Linked DNA regions of Ovis aries. The protein of the gene in region 3 interacts with the protein of the main gene of each other region in a pairwise test. Links are inferred from orthologs where the notes say so. Each region holds a gene or a part of one and is shown on either strand. Other genes may lie near its edges. The genes, in order: PIN1, PBLD and CCDC184.

Evidence for each region.
Region 1: the proteins of CCDC184 (region 3) and PIN1 interact in binary tests that used the Homo sapiens proteins (3 or more experiments, as listed by UniProt). The two-hybrid records come from large-scale screens. The link is inferred for Ovis aries from reciprocal best matches to the Homo sapiens genes CCDC184 and PIN1.
Region 2: the proteins of CCDC184 (region 3) and PBLD interact in binary tests that used the Homo sapiens proteins (3 or more experiments, as listed by UniProt). The two-hybrid records come from large-scale screens. The link is inferred for Ovis aries from reciprocal best matches to the Homo sapiens genes CCDC184 and PBLD.

Annotation. Positions count from the first base shown.
Region 1 is NC_056058.1:12,282,367-12,289,505, reverse strand, and holds the start of PIN1 (peptidyl-prolyl cis-trans isomerase NIMA-interacting 1), read right to left. Parts: upstream 3,623-7,139; 5' UTR 3,598-3,622; coding exon 3,540-3,597; intron 1,249-3,539; coding exon 1,036-1,248; intron 1-1,035. UniProt on the Homo sapiens protein: Peptidyl-prolyl cis/trans isomerase (PPIase) that binds to and isomerizes specific phosphorylated Ser/Thr-Pro (pSer/Thr-Pro) motifs.
Region 2 is NC_056078.1:23,944,838-23,950,744, forward strand, and holds part of PBLD (phenazine biosynthesis-like domain-containing protein), read right to left. Parts: intron 3,971-5,907; coding exon 3,882-3,970; intron 3,619-3,881; coding exon 3,440-3,618; intron 1,787-3,439; coding exon 1,724-1,786; intron 293-1,723; coding exon 180-292; 3' UTR 1-179.
Region 3 is NC_056056.1:138,403,756-138,410,894, forward strand, and holds CCDC184 (coiled-coil domain-containing protein 184), read right to left. Parts: upstream 4,391-7,139; 5' UTR 3,928-4,390; coding exon 3,340-3,927; 3' UTR 2,111-3,339; downstream 1-2,110.

The DNA.
Region 1 (7,139 bases), on a different chromosome or scaffold from region 3:
TCCAACAGAACTTCCTGCAAGGATGGAAATATTCTCCAGTTGTGCTGTCCAAAATGGCAGCCTATAACCAAGTGGGACTACTGAACAGTGTAGCTGGTGTGACTGAGGAACCAATCTTTAATATGACTTAAACTGAACTAATTTACATGAAAATAACCACATGTAGATAGAAGCGGCCACACTAGATAGCTCTAGACCAGGAGGCTGAGGACTACAGCCCTGGGGTCAAATCCTGCTGTTTCTGTAAATAAAGTTTTATTGACACATGACCACGCCCATTTGTTTACACATCACCTGCAGCTGCTATGGAGTTGCCAAGCAGAACTGACAGAGACTGTACAGCCCACAAAACCTAAACTATTTACCATCTGGCCTTTCAAGAAAAAGTCTGCCTACCAACTGCTGCTCTAGACTGCGGAGCAAACACAGAACTTAGCGACGAACAGCCTGCTCAGAGCCAAATTAATTCACTGACTCTGTTGTCTAGTTCTAACACTGCTACCTTTCCAACCTCCCTCCTGACCCATCCACATACGTGCCCCAGGACCCTGCTTGATGACACTACTCTCCAGGATAGCTCCCACTGAATGACGACCCACACAGTGACAACTGTGTGCCACCCATTACACCATTTCATCTCACTGAGCTTTCACAATGGCCCATGAAGGCAAGGAGATGACGACGTCCATTTGACAGAGGTGAAAACCGAGTCTCAAGGAAGTGACGTGAATCTCTCAGGGTCAAGGAGCTCCTAGGGGCATAGTGACCATGTGAACCCAGGTCTGGCTGCCATAAGGCTGGGTCCTCTCCACCAACCTTGGCCCACTCTCACACACCAGCTGGGGAGGAAAATGAGAGGCAGCCATGGAAGCCAGGCTCATGCCACCAACAGGCACTTATAGGTCGGCCAAGGCCACAGCTGACAGCTAAGCTGGCTGGGGTGGAGCATCTCATGTGATTTCTGTAAAGCTTGCACTGCCCTTGGGGAGAGGGACTGCCCCCTTCCCCCAGGCCTGGTCTCCAACCCCAGCTCACCATTGATCAGCTCCAGGGCCTCCTCCTTGGTTCGGGTGATCTTCTCCTGCCGCCAGGACGAGGGTCGCCGTGACTGGCTGTGCTTGACCAGCAGGTGTGAGCAGCGGACCCTGGTGGGCTCCCCTTGTCCATTTTTGCCGCTGCCACTGCTGTTGCCACTTGGCCGCTCCCACTGGCTGGCATTAGTGATGTGATTGAAGTAGTACACCCGGCCTAGAAGGGGGGGTGGGGTACAGAATTCAGCTGGGACCTGCTCAGTGCATACCACCATCAAGCCATGATATGGAACTGGCCAACAAGATGCCTTCATTCAGCCAGCCCACTGCTGTCCACCAGTGTCACCAGGACTTAGGGAGCTAACCCTCTAGGTGGGAGGCAGACAGACAATAAACAAGCAAGTACGACCACATAATAACTTTGGTCATTAACAACTTCAAGGGGGGAAAATAATCCAAGATGAGGAAGAGAGGTTCAAAGCATGCACTCAGCAGCCAGACTCCCTGTTCAAATCTGCCACTCACTCCCTGTATGACTCCCTTCTCCGGGCCTCAGTTTTCTCACTTGTAAAATGGAAATAACAACAGTACTTGCCTGAATGGTTTTTGGAAGGACTGTATGAGTTCACATCTGTAACGAGTTTAGGACAGCACTTGACATATATTAACACATTATCGACTGGGGGATTTTTGCAAAAACTAACGCCTGTGGCTGGCGATTATAAATGAATGTTGAGACACTCCAGTCAGTAACATTTGGGTAACAAAAAACATACTAATACATCTCTGGTCAAACCGTGGGCTTCCCAGGTGGCACAGAGGTAAAGAATCTGCCTGCTAATGCAGGAAGCAAAAAAATCTTGGGTTTGATGATACTCTGGAAGAGGAAATGGCAACTCACTCCAGTATTCTTGCCTGGGAAATCCCATGGACAGAGGAGCCTGGTGGGATAGTCCATGGGGTCACAAAGAGTAGGACACGACTTGAGCATGCACATGTTACTGTGAGGCATCTGGTCAGCTACTAGTGCCTCCAAAACAAAGCAATGGGTGTTTATTCTGCTGCATAAACTGTACCCATGTGTGTCACACACAAAAGCTTTGTCCTTTTCCCCTACCCAGTTACAGAACTGGGGTCCAGCATTACTGGGGTCAGATGTTATCCAGACTAAAGAGCATGGAGTGAGGGCTGCCAACAAGAAGCTTGAAGTAGGACCCAGTAGAGATAGGGTGTCATTCCTGGAGCAGAGTCTGCCCGGGGTTACACGGAGGACTTGTCCAAACACCGTGAAGGGCTGGATGTCACCCTCAGGGAACACTGTCAGGATTGAACTGGGTTGAAATGGCTGGAGTGGGAGCCCCAAATTTGGCAGAGCATTGGCTTTACATTGTAGGTCACATCCATGGGTCAAGGCTGCAGGGTGGGGTGGGGGTTGGTGAGAGCTGAGCCACTGACTGCCTCAAAAACACTGGCAATGGGTTCCATCTCCCTGAACCTCAGTTTTCTCATTTGAAAAGTGGGGATGAGAGAATAAGGACATCAAACCTCCAGAGGGTTAATGTGGAGAGTGGATGGTGCTGTATGCAAAGTGCTCCTGATGTTCAAAAAATCAAATTATTACTGCGACAATGACTGCTAGGCTCTATGGAGAAAGAAGTGTGAAATACTGGAACCTGCATCTTGGTAGTTTGCAGCAAGAAGGGTAGGGGGCTCTGGAGTCAGAATGACTGGGTCCGAACCCAACCCCCACCCCCTGAAATCAATGACCTTGGGCGGGTTCCTTGCGTTTTCTGGCCTCAAGTTTCCCGATCTGCAAAACGGGGGTAACAATTACCTCTCTCCCAAAATTATGACCATTTAGAGAAAGCAAACACCCAAAATGCTTGGAACTATGCTTGGTCCTGAGATAAACGTTCCCTATTCTTGACATTATTATTGGGGAAAAGTCTTAAGTCGGGTTCCGGAGCACAAGGGCAGTTCTCAGGCAGAATACCACCGGCCGGATATCGCAAACTCAGAATATGGTGTGGATGGTAGCGAGCGTATTAGCAGAAGGAGGTTGTATATCCGAGGCCGAACAACACCCTATAGGGCCCCGCCCTGAGCATGATGTTGGGGTGTCCTCCCCAAGGGGTCCCCACCCTGGGACCAGCGGGTTGCACAGACGTTCCCTCAGGACTTCTGGTGCATTAGGCCGAACGAAAATGTCAGTCAGATCGGCAGGGCCAGGGCCATCGCCTGAGGGAGTGCCGCGGGATCACCATCCCCCTGCCACCCCGGGAGCACCCTGGAACTCCCCGGCCACGCCCCTTGCCTCAGTTTCCTCGGGATTCCCCTCTCCTCAGGCTCGCAGCCCCAACAGGGTGGGCCGGGGCCGTTACCCGGGGACGACGCGGAGGAGCCAGGACCCCACGGGAACCGAGCGGCGCTGCCGCGCTCGAGGGACAAGCTCGAGCCCTGCTTCTGCGGGCCCTCGCGGCCCCGTCCCAGCCCCGACCCCCGCGGCACCTGAGCTGCGGCTCATACGCTTCTCCCAGCCGGGCGGCAGCTTCTCCTCGTCCGCCATCTTCCCTCCTGCCGCAGAGGCCGCTCCGCCTCCGCCGCACCGCCTCTGCCGCCCGCGTCCGCCCATCGCTGCTGCCGATTGGCTGAGCCCGCCCCGCACGGGGTCTTGGCGACAGCACTCATTGGGCACCCTAACTGTCCGGACTGACTCTCTGGCTTCCTATTGAGCAAAGGCGGGGGTGGGCGGAGCCTCCCACCATTAATCTGGGCCCCGCCCCGGTCGGCCTCACCCAGGTCCCGCCCTCTTCCTTTCCTCGGCCGCTAAATGGTGGGAAAGGGACGCGAACTCGCCTTATCAACGCCCTCTGCTGAGCTTCCAAAAGTTCCGACCCCTCCTTTGCGTCCTTCGCCACAGAGCCCATCCGATTGGCTACTACTGTAGCAATTCCCGCCTTCCTAAACCATAGCCCGCGGGCTGAAGCCTCCCAGGCGGAAGTGTCTGGCCTGTGTGGAGGTAACCGCAGCGAAGGAAGTTCTTGAAAAAGGCGGTGCTGCCTTTGCTGTTGCCATAGCAACGCAGTTACCTTGGTGATGAACAGCTAAGAATCCAGAAGCCTATATTTGGCTCCTCCGTTCTCCCTCGTCCCACTTGTTTGCCCAAGATGTCCAAAGCTAGCCCACCTCCTTTTAATTTTTTGTGCAAAACTCCCTATTTTACTGACCCAAACACCTTCCATTTCCTTTGAAATCTACTTTACTTTACTAATTCCCTCCCAGTTTGGCTTCTGCCTCTGTCCTGGGTGACTCGTGGGTGTTGGCATTGCCATTCGGATGAGGACACGGTGGCTTTGTGGGTGGAAATCAGTGGGTGGAAGCGCGGGTGGGAGGATAATAGCTCAGTTTGAATCAAGTTGCTTTTAAAATTTATTTTTTATTGAAATATCAGTTGAATAAGTCAATTTAAAATGAAGGCTGTGGCACTAAACGGACATTGAAGAGGTGGTTGGAGACCTAGGGCTGTAGATTTACGTGGGAATCGGGACACCAACAGGGAAGAGTTCAACTAAAGTTCATCTATAGGAGGAGGAGAGTGAAAAAGCTAGTTTAAAATGCAACATTAAAAAAACTAAGATCATGGCATCTGGCCCCATCACTTCATGGCAAATAGATAAGGGGAAAGTGGAAACGGTGACAGATTTTATTTTCCAGGGCTCCAAAATCACTGTGGATGGTGAGTGCAGTGATGAAATTAAGACACTTGCTCCTTGAAAGGAAAGCTATGACAAACCTAGACAGGGTATTAAAAAGCAGAGACATCACTAAGCCGACAAAGGTCTGTATAGTCAAAGCTACAGTTTCTCCAGTAGTCATGTATGGACGTTGAGAGTTGGACAATAAGGAAGGCTGAGCGCCAAAGAACTGATGCTTTTGAATTGTGGTTCTGGGGAAGACTCAAGAGTCCCTTGGATTGCAAGGAGATCCAACCAGTCCATCCTAAAGGAAATCAGTCCTGAATATTCACTGGAAGGACTGATGCTGAAGTGAAGTTCCACCTGATGCCATCACTTTGACCACCTGATGTGAAGAGCCAACTCATTGGGAAAGACCCTGATGGTGGGAAAGATTGAGGGCAGAAGAAGAAGGTGACAGAAGATGAGATGGTGGGATGGCATCACTGGCTCCATGGACATGAGTTTAAACAAACTCCAGGAGATGGTGAAGGACAGGGAACCCTGGTGTGCTGCAGTCCATGGGATTGCAAAGAGTCGGACACGACTTAACAACTGAACAATATAGCATACAACCTTATGTAACTGTTAAAAAGAATGAGGCACAGTGACATGAAACACAGGGAAACATGTCTAGGACAAATTAGAGGCAGGATGCAGCTGAGAGTTAAAAGCACTCAGGAACCAGATTGCTTTGAGTTCAAAGCCTGGCTCTACCACTTGCTGTGACCTTAACAAATTACTTAACCTCTGTACTTCAGCTTCTCCATCTGCAAAATGAGAGGAAAAAACATGTCTCATGAATATCCTTGATGCAAAGATTAAATGAGTTCATCTATAGAAAGCATTCAAAAACAGTGTCTGGTCCATAGCAAGGGTAGGTATTGCTGGGTGAAAAAAAAAAAAAAAACCAAAACATAGTACAGCATAGCAATTATAGTATGTATGAAAGCATAATAAGAGACTTCCCTGGTGGTCCAGTGGCTAAGCCTTTGTACTCCCTAAGTAGGAGGCCTAGGTTCAATCCCTGGTCAGGGAACTAGATCCTACATACAACAACAAAGACCCAGTGCAGCCAAACAAATATATATTAAAAAAAAGAAAGCATAATAAAACCAAAAAGATCAACAAAAATTAACTTTGTATATTATCAGAGTATTATAATTAACTCAAACTGTATAAAAATAGTTGTATATCACTGAAAATTTCTGGATTTATCCAAATATGTTAATAACTAATACTGGTTGGTGATGCAGGTGAAGGAAGAAATGAGGAACTTAAGTTATAACATTCTGACTTTTTAAACAAGCATGTATTAGCATAATAATAATCATAATCTTTTTTTAAAGATAATTTTAGATTTAGGGCTGGACTGCAAAAGTAGTATAGTTCTCAAAGTCCTTTACCCAACCATGCCTTATATTAGCATCTTACATAACAGAATAGAGGTTGTCAACCAGGGGTGATATTGTTCCCCAGGGGACATATGGCAAGTTTAAGACATTTTTGGTTGTCACAAAAGGAGAGAGATGCTACTTGCATTTAGTGGGTGGAGGCTGAGGATGTTACTGAACATCCTGCAATGTACAGCCTCCACAACAAAGAATTATTCCCCCAAATGTTAACAGTGCCAAAACTGAGAATTTCTGCCACAGAATGATGACGAAAACTAAGAAATCAATATTGGTCCAATACAATTAACTAAACTATATTTTAAATAAAAGAATTTCCTGTTTCTCTAGTAATATCCTCCTCCAGGATGTGACCATTTCTAGGTCTTTCCTTGTCTTTCATGATCTCGATACTTTTGAAAAGTACAATGGCTTTCATTCTGATGTTTGGACATGATGATGTCTGTCCAATATTTTCTCATGATTTATTGAGGTTTGGACTTCCCTGGTAGCTGAAATGGTAAAGAATCCACCTGCAACGCGGGAGACCTGGGTTTGATCCCTGGGTTGGGAAGATCCCCTGGCAGAGGGCATGGCAACCCATTCCAGTATTCTTGCCTGGAGAATCCCCATGGACAGAGGTGCTTGGTTGGTTACAGTCCATGGGATCACAAAGAGTCAGACACAACTGAGCAACTAAGCACCACTAGCACATACATCATTGGAAAGGACACCACAAAGATGATATGCCCTTCTCAGTGCATTGTGCCAGGCGATTAATGACGCTGCAGTGTATTAGTAGTTGTATTAGGGTGTCTATTGCTGTTTGACATGTTAGCCTACAATCTAGTGAATTAACATTTGCCATCTCAGTTTCCATGGGTCAGGAATGGAGTAGTTTAGCTGGTGTCAGCAGGAGCAGCTATGGTCTTATCCCAAAACTTGACTGGGCAGGATCTGCTTCCAAGCACCCTCATTTGGTT
Region 2 (5,907 bases), on a different chromosome or scaffold from region 3:
CTTTAGTTAATTCATCAGGAAGCATTATTAAATCCCCATTAATATGTCTTCATTGTTCTATTTCTCAGGTGAGGATTAAGTGAACTACAATGCAATCTTATTCAAAGCAGTCTCTTACATTTCTTTTTATGCAGAAAATACTCAGTAATTCAAGACTGTGTCACCGCAGTGCAAGCAGTCTAGGCCATCAGAGTGCCCTCTAAAACAAGAGCCGTGCCTCCCTTGATGTCAACTCGTCCATCAGAACGCAGGGAAATTATCAGTTCTCCTCCTCGGTTGGAACACTGAAAGGCTAAAGAAAACATAAAACAAGTCACAAATCAAGATCATTTTCACCCCTTTAATTAATAAGACATAGTGAAAGACTGATTATTACGAGCTCTACAATCCTCCCAGGTCAATTTAAAGAATACATTCTTTCAAACAAATGAAAACAAAATAAATGAACAAACCAAACACAAACACATAGACACAGAGAACAGAGAGTGGTTACCAGAAGGGGAGGGGCAGAGTGATATGGGAGGGATCAAAATGCATAAAGGAGATCAACTGCATGGTGAAGGATAGAAAATAAATTTTTGATAGTGAGCACACTGTAGGATGTATAGAAGCAGAAATACAATGTACATGAGAAACTTATTTAATGTAATAAATTAACGTTCTCAATAAAAACTTATTAACTAATTTTTTAAAGAATGCATTCCTTCATCTGTTCATAATATTGCCTAGCCCACCCGATTCTCCTGAGGACTGAGGCCACAAACGCAATTTGATACACAAAGCACACAGCTCTACATCTTCCCTTCCTGAGCTACTTCCTCTACTACTTCCTGTAATGCCCCAGACACACCCTAAATGTAGCTTCCTCCCTGGCTCCATCTAGGTCTAGGAGTAAGCAAGCACAAGTGAAAAGATAGAGCCTAGGACTAAAAAGCTAAAAAGATAAAGAGGGGGTGCTCTTGGGCCCTTCAGAGAAGGCCCCATCTTTCGTCTTTGGTCTTTTGAGGTCTGGAAAGGACAAAAGGAGTTCCCTATTCATTGTGGATAGCAAGCAACCACACTTGTCAAGCAAACGTGAAGTACAGCCTCAGGTTTCTTGAGTTTAGGGAAATAATTAGGCTCACAATGGAAAGAGAACAGCCACCCTGCTATTCCCAAATCAGGGTCACAGATGCTTAACCATCCCACTAAGTAAGAACTTCTGTCCACTAAGGTCAAAATTCTACTTTGATTGTGTAGCCTGTTCTGCATGTGGTACTAGCTGTGTAACCTCCACTGGCTACCATCTATTTCTCTGTCCTGAGCAATATATTAATCACTAGGAGACTTGGTTCCAAGGCAATTTGTTTTATTTAATCCCATAATGGGACCCTGGTAATCATCCAATCTCAACTCATCACCTTATAAAGAACCTTTCTGGGCCAAAATTACACAGCTAGTTAACTTTATTCAGCAAATACTTACTTGGCACTTAACTGTATTAGAAGTGTGTCTGTGCTTTGGGAGAAACAGAGGTGGAAGATGTTTGGGGTGGAGGATGTTGAGCAGAAGATTCAGGGTGAAGGAATTCAAAACCTTTAGTTTTCATGTGGGTAATAGTTAACTTTTTTTTTTGATAGTTAACATTTTATTACATCTTCAGGTGGATAGTATATATAAGAAGGAATACTAGCTTAAAGTTTAGCAGGTTTTTTTTTTTTAATTTGAAAAAGAACTGTCCTACCGTGCAAGTCTTTCTTCCCCAGTTGCTCAGACCAGTAGCTACTGAGAACAGTATGTGCAGACCCTTAAAAGAAGTGAAAAGCTATGTTACAATCCCAAAGAAAACGGGAGCAACTCTGCTAAATTCATAAAGGATCAACTATCCAGTTTGACTGAACCTTAGACAACTTAGTCATTATGTTGGCCATGACTTCAGCAAAGTGTGGAATTATGAATGGAAATAGAAAGGAAGACATAGAATTTATGGATAAGCTTCTTCAAAAGACATATCTGCTGCATCTTACACTTTCTGAAGGCTGAATTAAACTGCAGGCTTTAATTCTTGTCAATTCCTTGTCAGTCCATGGCAGGAGAATTAAGGCTTTCGTATAAATCTGTCTACATCTATCAAGGAAAAACATATCCTTCCTCCTAAGACGCACATGCAAGGAAGGGTGGGAACTCTGACAAAAGACCAAAATTTCCATGAAGCCAACGTTCCCAGTTTTTTGGTGCCAAAAGAGCTTTGTTTTAGTGAGATACTTTTTCACATGATTGTGCCCTAGGTGTAGATCAGAGAATAAATACTAAAAAGAAGAAACAAACTGCTAAGTAACAACTGATAGGAAAGTATTTGGGAGAGGAAAAGATGGTTTGAAAAAGGTTTCTCCTTCAGAAAAATGTACTAAATACTATGGGACAGGGTGCCCAGGCATCCCAGTATGCCTGAGGCTGTCCTGGTTTCATCACTGAAGATCCCTACTCTGAGAAGTCCTTCAGTCTCAAGCAAACCGAGACTGTTGGCCATCACTGTCCAAAGAGCTTTCCCACTCTAGAAAAGCATGATTCCAGGGGGGAAAAAACCTTCCCTCCATGAAAATTAAAATCTTTGGGAAGCAGCCAAGCATGTGTAAATCCACTCATAACTTCTTATCCATCAGCTTCCTCCAAAAAGCATTCCACACCTTTCACTGCTCAGCCCACTTTTATTAAGGAGGATGAAAGTAGGAAGCATCACATTCTTGCCGACTTTTTATTTCAACTCTCTGCTTCTGGCTTATGGAAGATCCTAAATTCCTACGTTCCTGAACCCATTCCACTCACTGAGTGAGCAGGTCTGGCAAAGGACGAGGGGAGGAAGAAAAACACTATTCCTGTCCCTGTTTCCCACCTGCAGTCCAGGACTTGGTCCTTCAAAACCCAAATCAGTCAATTATCACACAGGCTGGCCAATGAAAAGGACAAAGGACTTTGGGAATATAGTAGACATTGGCCACTGGATTTTGCAACAGGTAGCTCTAGAAGTGTTGGCTCAAGGAGCCAGTTTTATTGTTAGTTATTAAAATACCTAACAGCTATTGGGCACTAACCATGTACTGTGCTCATTATGTTCTGTGTTTAACATGCATCGTGTTTACATAGCCTATAAGGTATTATCCATATTTTATAGAGAGGGAACAAAAGCTGTGAAAAGTTAAGTCATTTACCCAAGGTCAACAGCTAGGAAGCTAGGACGCAAAGCCAGCCTGTCTGATGCTAAAATTAAACCTTGCTATATACTGCCTCATTAACACTGTGTTTTTTACAAGAGACTTCAGTGAAGGGATGGGGAAGGGAGATAGGGAAACAAAGGCAACTCAAAACCCAAACAACCTGAAAGCTCATTGTGGAGGGCACTTAAACAGTTCTCCTCCTCCTCAACTGTTTAGCTTTCCTCAGGATTCAAGGCAAAAAGTACCTGTTACGGGGTCTTCAGCCACACCGTACCATGGAGCAAAATATCTGGAGTAAAAGTCAAATGCTTGAGTCTGCCCACCAGGCTCTCCCTTGAGGGTGAGAATGAGTCCTTTCACCTTCCCTGTGGTTTCCACTTGCAGCAAATTCTCTGTGTTCACTGTTAGGCTCTCCAGAAATGACCTTGTTCATAAACAGGATGGATTAGGACAAACCCATTCCACAGACTACCCATTCCCCAGACTCCGTAAAGCAGGCCAGGCTACAGCTTGTTCAATGGCTCAGCAGTAAGTGAGGAAGAGCAACTACAACCTTCCTGCACAGGAACAGATCACTCTGGCTGTGTAGATCATGGTTCAGCTGAACATGGCACAGCCAGATCAAGCCAGAGCTATGAATCTGGTGCCCTCCCCCACAGTACTGACGAAGTCAAAAATCTCATTTACCTGTTGTAAGTATCACTGAGCCGGACCAGGAGCTTTTTGGTATCTGGGGAATAGCAAACATCCTGAACCAGCGTGTCACCAATGGCAGTCTATGGAGACAGACCAAAACTTCCTCAGAAGTGCATCTTGGGTCAAGTCCTTGGAGAACGATCTCTCACAAACATCTGCTTTGTGCCAGGCACACCCAACATCTCCAGTCCCAAGAGTTTCAGGTCAGTTTTAGGATTCAAGGTATTTCTCAAAGAAGGCCAATTTCCTGGTGTTCAGGAACACTTGGACCTTAATAGGGGTTGAGTTTAGCCTCTGAGAGCCAAAGAGAGGCCTTGTTCATACATGTCACTATGAGACTCGACACACAACTCCTTCAATTGGGTATTTTCCCCACAGATAAAAAGATTCAGGGAGGCCCAGAATATCTCTCTCACATACATACACTTTGACCCAGGACTGAGGAGCCCTGAAGTCAAAGCTCTGAATCACTACTGTCTACCATCTGTAGAGGTGGGGGCTTTATGCCTGCTTCTTAGAGGATTAAATGAAATAACATGCAGAGTTCCTGTAGCTACAGTGGTAACTGGATGATTCTACACAAGAAGGACTCGGGGCCAGCAGTATGATTGGAAGTGGGGACTAGGGCACTCGTATCAATGCTGCTCTGCTTGGCAAGCTTGCTGTTTTCACTTAGACTGTACACTACAGATCAAGAACATAGTAACATTGTCCAAAGACACCCTGGTTCACCCTTTACCGAAGACTGCATATAACCATGCTCACACCTGAGACATAGTATGTTTGTTTGTTTATTGGTTTGCAGTGCTGAGGGAGGTTGTGAGGGGACAAAAACACCTCCAAGTCATCCTTAGGCACCACAACTAGCTGCCGCCAGAACAGACTAGAGTTACGTGGTAGTTGTCTGATTGTCACTAGGTGGTTTTAAGTTCTCTAATCTTCTTTAGGGGCTGAGAAGCTCTAGGTTCCATGGCCAAGACGCTGCTGTGGGTAGTGCCTGGAAGGTCTGCCTCTGTGACCACTGCTGACCAATGTCTCCCTTCTAGATATGGGAACTCCTACAGCCCAATCCCATCTGTTCTCTGGGCCTCCCAATCTCTCTGAAGGGTCATCCAACCCTTCTCTGCATGGATTCTTATGTCCATTTGAAAGTTTAATTCTCAACTGAGAATCTTATTGCCAGTTTCTAGGAACACAAAATGACAATGCATGCATGCTCAGCTGTACCCAACTCTGCGACCTCAAAGAATGCAGCCCGTCAGGCTCCTCTGTCCACGGGATTTCCCAGTCAAGAATATTGGAGTGGGTTGCCATTTCCTACTCCATGGGGATCTTCTCAGCCCAGGAATCGAGCCCTTATCTCCTGTGTCTCCTGCACTGGCAGGCATATTCTTTACCACTGAGCCACCTGGGAAGCCCAAAATGACAATACTCACGATAAACACCTTTCATCATTCCCATTTTACAAATGCTGACCCTGAGGCTTAGAGAGAACAGGTTAAGTTCTTTCTATCATGAACAAGGTCTACCACTGTAAAGATTTTCTGTTTTTTTTTTGCCAATGTACTTAAAGCAATTCATTTATGAATTTGGCTTGTCTCCCAAAACCCAACCTGTAGGTGAAGCTGAGTATAAAAGTAGAATCCATGACACTTGCTTATATCTTTTGAAAACTTAAAGCAAAACACTAAGGAGATAACAAATGCTGTATTTGAAAATTCACTAAGAAATACCCATTACTACCTGTAACAGGCCATTTCAGAATAATTTTTTTTCATGGCACCCTTGGCCTGGTCCTGACCTGGGCCCTTCCTCCTCTAAAACCTAAGCACCTGGCTATCCAGGGCTGCTCTGGCCTTCTAGAATCTCCACAAGACAACTGTAGTGCCTACTGCCCTGGGTGACAGTGAGAATTAAATGAAATAATGCATTAAAATGCATGGTACCGCATAGAAGAGACTCTCAAAATGTTCTTTATCATCATCATCATCCTTATCATTAAGCCCCATCCCCACAC
Region 3 (7,139 bases):
AATGCCAGAGGAGAGTGGGGAGTCTGAAGAAGGGGGGAAGGAGGTGGGAGAGAAACCCGTGCTGTGTCCCTCTGGGATGTTGGTGCAGGTCACTGAAGACAGTTGAAGAACTGCTTTTTCTGTGGAGATTTTTACCTATTTGGACTTGAGAGGAATTGCTAGAGACATTCTGGGGGCCCTGGGCTAAGGGACTGATGACACATTTTGGATAGTAGGCATAGGAAGAATTGAATTGGCGTCAACGGTTAAAGGGTTCAACCAGACCATTCTACAGGTGCTGAAGGGCTAAGGTGCCTTGAGATTCACGTCGTACTCTGCAGAATCTAAGCTACAGACAACAGGGAAGAGGCATAAGAATGGGGCTGTGTCAGGGAATATCTGGGAACATCAGCTTCTTCCTCTAAAGAAGCATGTGCAGAAGGCCATCTTCTCTGTGCCATTATTGTATTATCACCCACTAGACTCTGAAAGGTCACTAACCAAAACCAGATCAGGAATTACTTGTTCCAACTGAGAAGATGAAAACTGAGTGAAACTAACATTACTTCCTTTTCAGGACTCTTAAGACTCTTGACTGAGGACATAAAGGATTCCTTTCTCTGAAGATGAAATAGAGCAATTAGTGGAGTGGGTTCCCATCTAGGGTTAAGTCAGAAGATCTGGGTTTAAGTCCTGGTTATGCAAAGTACTAGCTGTATGACCTTGACTAAGTCTTGGAGTCTATTTCTAGAACTGTTAAGTGAAAATAATAATAGTGCCTACTTCATATGGTCATTGGGATATAAAATTGGGCACAATGTCTGGCACAGAGTAAGTGTTCAATATATGATGGCTATCATTGTTTTTGGTGCTGAATGCTGGAACTGTAACAGAAAACTATCTTCCAGCCCTCAGGGACACTTCCTCACTAATATATTTTAGCTGCCCTCTCTAAGCCCCAGCACATATTCCCTAACCACTGCACAACTCAAGCCATCCTCTGGTCATCCTATGTGTACAAAAGCTGGCTTTAAGACCTTTTTGACCCATAATTACAGGATATTTATGAAGAAAGGCCATGTAAGCTTGGGAATCTCATCATCCCCTTGACTGCCCTGAATGATAAGAATTCTTTAGGTAGGGAAGGATTATATTAAACTAGAACCTTCCCTAAATAACTGTGTTTTCCCAGAGGAGCCAGTCAACACCATCACCCCCTACCCCAAGAGAGCTATAAGAAAACTAACATTTGCATAAGATTTCTCAGATGTCTTATTATCTTTCTCAAAAATTTTTGTCCCCATTTTACACAGACAGAAACTGAGTCTCAAGCAAGGAACCAAGTCTCAAGCAGTCATTTACTGTTGGATCTGAGATTCATTGCCAGTGCCCTTTCCACATCTCTGTAGCAACCAGCTGCAGAAACACACATACATATATACACATATCTACATGCATACATACACACATTTGTAGGTACAAGCATACACACACACACACACACACACACACACACACACACACACACACACACAGCACCCCAGCTCATTATTCTCCCAAATTTTGTTTGAAGCAGCCTTAGGAAGTCTCCAGTGCCCAAGGGAGCAGACTAGAGCTGATGTCAGGCTAAGCTCCCGGGGGGACACCTTACCGGAGTTCTCCACTAGAGGCCTGAGGCAGTTTTTGTGGTTCCCTTTGTGATGTGTCACTCTGCCAGAGATCCCAGGCAATCCCTCCTGAACAATGCCCCCTCCCTACCCCTCCCATGAAACAGGTGTCTTGCCTACCATTTCAGGACTCCACTTTGGAAATCATCTCCTGCGAACCAGGTGCTCCACTGAAAAGTCTCCTGCACATCTGGAGTTCTGGCTACTAAAAAACCCTTGTTTGGGAATCGCAACATGTACCCTCTCCTTCCTCAGTCCAGCTTGAGGTCAAGGTCCAGGGCGGAAGTGACAGCAGGTAAAAATGGCAATGCATACCCCAGTCAGGGCAGGGACAATCAACTCCTTGGAACCAGAGGCAAGAAGAGAGGAGGGAAGGCATGGTCCCTGTAGTTCCCACTAAGCCTGTGTCCATGCAGTGGGTCCAGAAGCCCCACCCTGCCATTGCCCTAGTACCAGTCAGCAAGGAGGGGAGATGACGCCTCTTTATTAAGGTTAACACCAAGGAAAGCATTGAGAAGGAATACACAGAGGAAGAGGAAGGGCACACAAAGTCACCACTTGAGGAGGTGGGAGGGAGGCATATCAGTTAGGAACCTCAGGACAGCCACATGCTTCATGCCCTGGTTGTGGGGGAAAAGAGAGGAGAGGGGAAAGCATCATGAGAGCCTGGGGCTCACAGAAGGTCTGAAGCCCCCTGAACCTAACACCAGAGCCACAAGCCCTGCCCCTCAGGGCTCACACACTACTACACAGGTCAACACACATAATGCACACAAGACATTATGGAGGCAACACCGAGAGTCAGCGGGCAGGGAAGTATTGACAGGAAAAGGAACTGAAGTTAAGCAGGTATAGCCAGCAGAGAGACAGTTTTCGGCTGTGGCCCCCAAGAGTCCCTCAAATGTCCCCTAAATCTGGGCTGTTGCTGAGCACCACCCCCAAGTCTCTGCCTGTGAACTGGGCTCTTTGTTCTCTAAGCCCCAGTGAGTGGATAAAGCAATCCCAGATGAAGTCAGTGACAAGGCAGATCCGCTCTGCATGCAAAATCCTAGAGGTTGAGCTATAATGTCTTCATGCACATTCAGAGCCAGCTCCTCCCAGCCCAGGGGCCCTCGGAACCCCATTCACCCAGATTCCTAGGGCTGCAGTTCCCTCCTCAAGCTTCTTTTACCAATCAGCAGCCGCAGAGGTCTGTGAGGGGGAGAGGCTTCTGCAGAACGCTGAATAGCTTGGATTTCATCAGAAGGGTAAATTTTCTGTTGCCAGAACAGAATACCCTCAATTCCTTAATTTCTAGGTAAATCGTTAGAGATTTTTTGCCATAGTCCTAGATAAGTCCTTTTTCAGAATAGAAAAAGCAGAATTTTATTTACACAAGTCAGGGGTTCTCCTGTTGGCTGGGGCGGGGGAAAGGGCAGGGTAGGGGATTGGATGGGAGTCCAGAGGTGGGCGCTTCCTCTCCCGGAACCTCACCTTTCCGCAGTTTGCTACTTCTTGCTTGGTGAGGCAGAAAGAATTCTTGATGCTCCCAAAGTCCTTCACCCTGTAAATGCTTCCTCAAGGAAGTCTCTTCTGCCTGACCCACAAGAGCAGCGGTCGGAGTGAAGCACGCGCTGCATCGCGCCGTTCAGTCCCCTCATGCACTCGGAAACCCAAAGTCAGCCCGGGAAAGTAGTGCCCCCTCGGAGTCCCCTCACAGAGAGGCCTCGCCCTCCAGCTGCAGCAGGGTAATGTCGGGCAGATCGAGGGGCTCCACAAGTGGCCCGTCCCCCCCCAGAAGGCCAGCACAGGGGCTCTCCGGGCGCTCACAGTGACTTGTGGGTGTGGCGGAGCTGGGCATCTCCTTTTCTTCTTCATCGTCGTCCTCCTCGTCCTCTGGATCGCGACCCAGCAAACCGCTGCCCCCGATCCCAGGCGAAGGGGTCTCCGGATCTCGGCGAGCGCCCTGGAAGTTCCCCTTGCTGCCGACCACGCCCAGGCCACCCTGGCGGGGCGCGGTGGTCATAATCTGGCACATGGAGACGATGGCTCGCTGGTTGGCGCACACGTCGTCCGAGAGCACCTGGATGTGCGAGGCCTGCTCGTCCAGGGCCCCCCGCATGGCCCTCACGTCCTCAAACAGGGCCTGCAGCTGGGCCTTCAGGTGCTCCATCAGTTCCTTCATGCCGCCGTTGTACTCCCCGGAGATCACGTCCCCCACGGCCGGCACGGTGGACACCTCGAGAGGGGCCGGCATATCGCCGCCGTCCTTGGTCATGATCTCCAGCAGACCTTCCTCCATTGAATGGCAGAAGCGGGCGGTGGCGGCTCGGGGTCCGGTCCAGCCCGGCCTCGGGGTGGGGGAAGGTACGGGGAGGGGGAGAGGTGCCCGGAGGGGGTGGGAGGAGCCGAGGGAAGAGGAGGCTCCAGACAGGGGTGGAGAGGTGAGTCCCGGGCGGGGGGTGCCGGCAGAATCTGGAGAGGCCGGGAAGAGACGGCGGAACAAGGACCGGGCTACAGTCCCAGGGCCGGCGTCTCTCCGGCTCGCCCCGGGGCGAAAGCGCCCTGCCCTGCCTCGACTCCTGAATTGCACCCGTGTCAGCGCCTCCCTCTGGGCGCCAAGAGCGTCAAGTGCCCGCCGGTTCCCTGGGTCACAGGAGCGCTCGCACAGGGGCCCAGGTTGAGGCCGAGGCCAGCAGCGGGTCGACCTCGGGACTCCCCTCGGCCGCTAACTGGGAGCGCTCGCGAGTGTGGTTGGAAGTGACAGGGGCGGGTCTCCCAGCGGCGCCGCGGATGCTCCTCTGTTTCCAAGGCGACGCACTGCACGTAAAAGACGTGTGTCTCCATGGCAACCAGGAAGTGGAGCAGAAAAGGGAGGACAGCTGGGAAGCTGCAGTGGGGCTCTGGATTCTGAGCTTGCGGTTGGAGCGGGAGGGGAGGGGACGCTGCAGTGGCCTCAGCTGAGGCTGAAAGAACGTGTGGCCGCAATGTTTAATAGGGAAGCATGAGAGAGCAGTTTGCTGCATAAATCCCCAGGTCGGGGAGACATCGTCCCTCCTCTACTCTGGGTAGTAGTCACCGAGCGAGACTACCTTGGAAGGATTTTCACCTGCCCGCATTCCTTCCTCTGAGAATGGCGTTACAGCCGAGTCCTGCTTCTCTAACCTCCTGCAGGAAAGCAGAGAGGGTAGAGAGGCCGATGCTATTACCCAGACTTGAGCTGGGATGCGCGGGCGCCCTAGAGCGGGCCCCGCCCGGCCTTCGCGGTGCAGATGCGCAAGAGGGCACTACGGAGGTTTCCGTCACTCCCTTCTGCTTCTGCAGTAAATCAGCCCTCGCTGTCGATAAGATGGTATCGAAGCCGAGAAAAGATGGAATTCCCTCCCATAATAGACCCAATCGCTCCTACCCAGGGCACTGGGGGTTCTTTCAGGACGGTGAGGCAAAGTGCTTCAGTTTTGAGAAAGAAAGCTCCGTAAGAATAGAGATTTTTGTCTCCTCCGTGTCCTCCAGCACGGAATCCCCAGCACTTAAAATAGAACCTGGCGCATAGTAAGTAAATGCTCAGTACATTTGTTGAATGAATGCTTTAACAAGGACCACTGTGTCCCATTCCCTTGTCCAGAACTCTCCAGCTCACAGGTAGTGGCTTTTAGGAGGCCTGAATTCAATTTTGTTTCGGCCATTTATTAGTTCAGAGACCTTGAATAAATCGTTTTTCTCATCTGTTAGTGGATCGGACTGTATAATATTTGGTAATATTATTTCTGACTCTGAGGAACACTGCGTCCGCTCCCAGTTGAAAGGGTAAACTGTCGACAACGTGTGGAACGGATGGCGGGAAGGCCCGGTGGTGTGGGGGGATTATGTAAGGGTAATTTCCCTGTCCCCAGGCCCAGCGTCCAGGTACAGACATGCAGTGAGTGTTTCAACCTTTGTGACAACTCCTTTCTCTTTTTGAGGAGTGGAGTGGGAAAGGAGGAGGAGGAAGAAAAGTTGAATTTAATATATTTACAGATGACTTCAGATTGAAAAGCAAACAGTACCTGGGCAGCAGCATACTAATAATGACCTTAATAAATTGGAGAAGCCAAGTGATCAGAAACCACAAATGAAGTTCACAAGAAGAAATAAATGTGGGGAAGAGAAATGATGTAACACTTCAAGATGGGGACGAGCTGGTTTTGGGTGAGTGTTTTGTATACTGGTGGTTCAGTGATAGCTGATGCGTTACTTTGAGGTTTCCCTTGTTGCATACTCTCCTGATGAGGGGTGGGGCTGGCCCAGAGAAACTTTGCTGGCACTAAAGAACTTTTCGACTTATTCCTTGTCTTACTGCTATTAAAATAGAAATAAGTTAACAAATAAGAAGAAGCGGGCAAATATCCTAAACAGTAGAATGTTTAAGGCATTGTTAGTATAATAAAGTATTATATAACCCTTAAAATTTTGATATTCCAAAACAAATGTATGAACAAATTTTAAAAACCTATTTATGTTCTATATATTGTATTTTCTATGATTCAATCTTATTTGCTTGCTCATTCTGTCTTTCTTTCATTCCACAAACTTATGACTCTCACCTTGGTTATCATCCCCACCTCTACCATGTGCCCCTCAGGGTATTCTTAAAGCTGAGAAGAAGACAGAAATGCTTTTCCTTGGTTTCCCTAAGCACAGCCAAAGTGCACTGTTATCCCCAAAAACAGACTTTACCAAAAAGGAACTGTAGGAAAGCTAGAAATATACAAGACATACAAAAACAACAACTGAGCTTCCACAGCATGAGTTTCTGATCGTACTCTAGCAAGCATATTTTTAGGGCTTATGGGTTCAACCCTGTGAATGTGTGTTAGTCGCTCAGTCATGTCCAACTCTTTGCAACCCCATAGACTGTAGCCTGCAAGGTTCCTCTGTCTATGGGATTCTCCAGGCAAGAATACTGGAGTGGGTTGCCATTTCCTTCTCCAGGGTCCAACCCTGCTGTTCATCTTTCCCTGGAGGCCTTTGCTATAGTCAGAAAAAAAAAAAAAAAAACCTGGCATGATTTTCAAATTTTTGCCTAGATCTGTTGCCTCACATCTCTTGACCAGCACTTCATATGGATGATTTCACCTTGCTAGCTCCCTCACTCTTCAGAGAGGTCCTTGCTTTCTACCTACAAAGACTAGCCCTGTCCCCAATACAGGGCCTTGCGCATTAGCCTTAACCTTACATTAAATACAGTCCCCATACAGTAGGACCTGGGTTATGCCATCATACAAGGCCCTTTGCCACTATTGTTGAGGATGCCATATATGTCAAGGCTTTCAGCATAAGATTACATCATGCTGCCCAGAGCCGCTGGCATGAGGTCTGCTGAGAGTTCGGGGGGTCTGAGCCTAGAGGGAGGGGAAATTATTGGAGAAGCATGAAAGAACATGGGAAACAGTGCAGAGATCAAGGGTGTGGCTGATCCAGTCAAGTTCCAGGTCAGATATTTGAGAGCCAAGGGTAGGTGGGATCTGGGGGTGT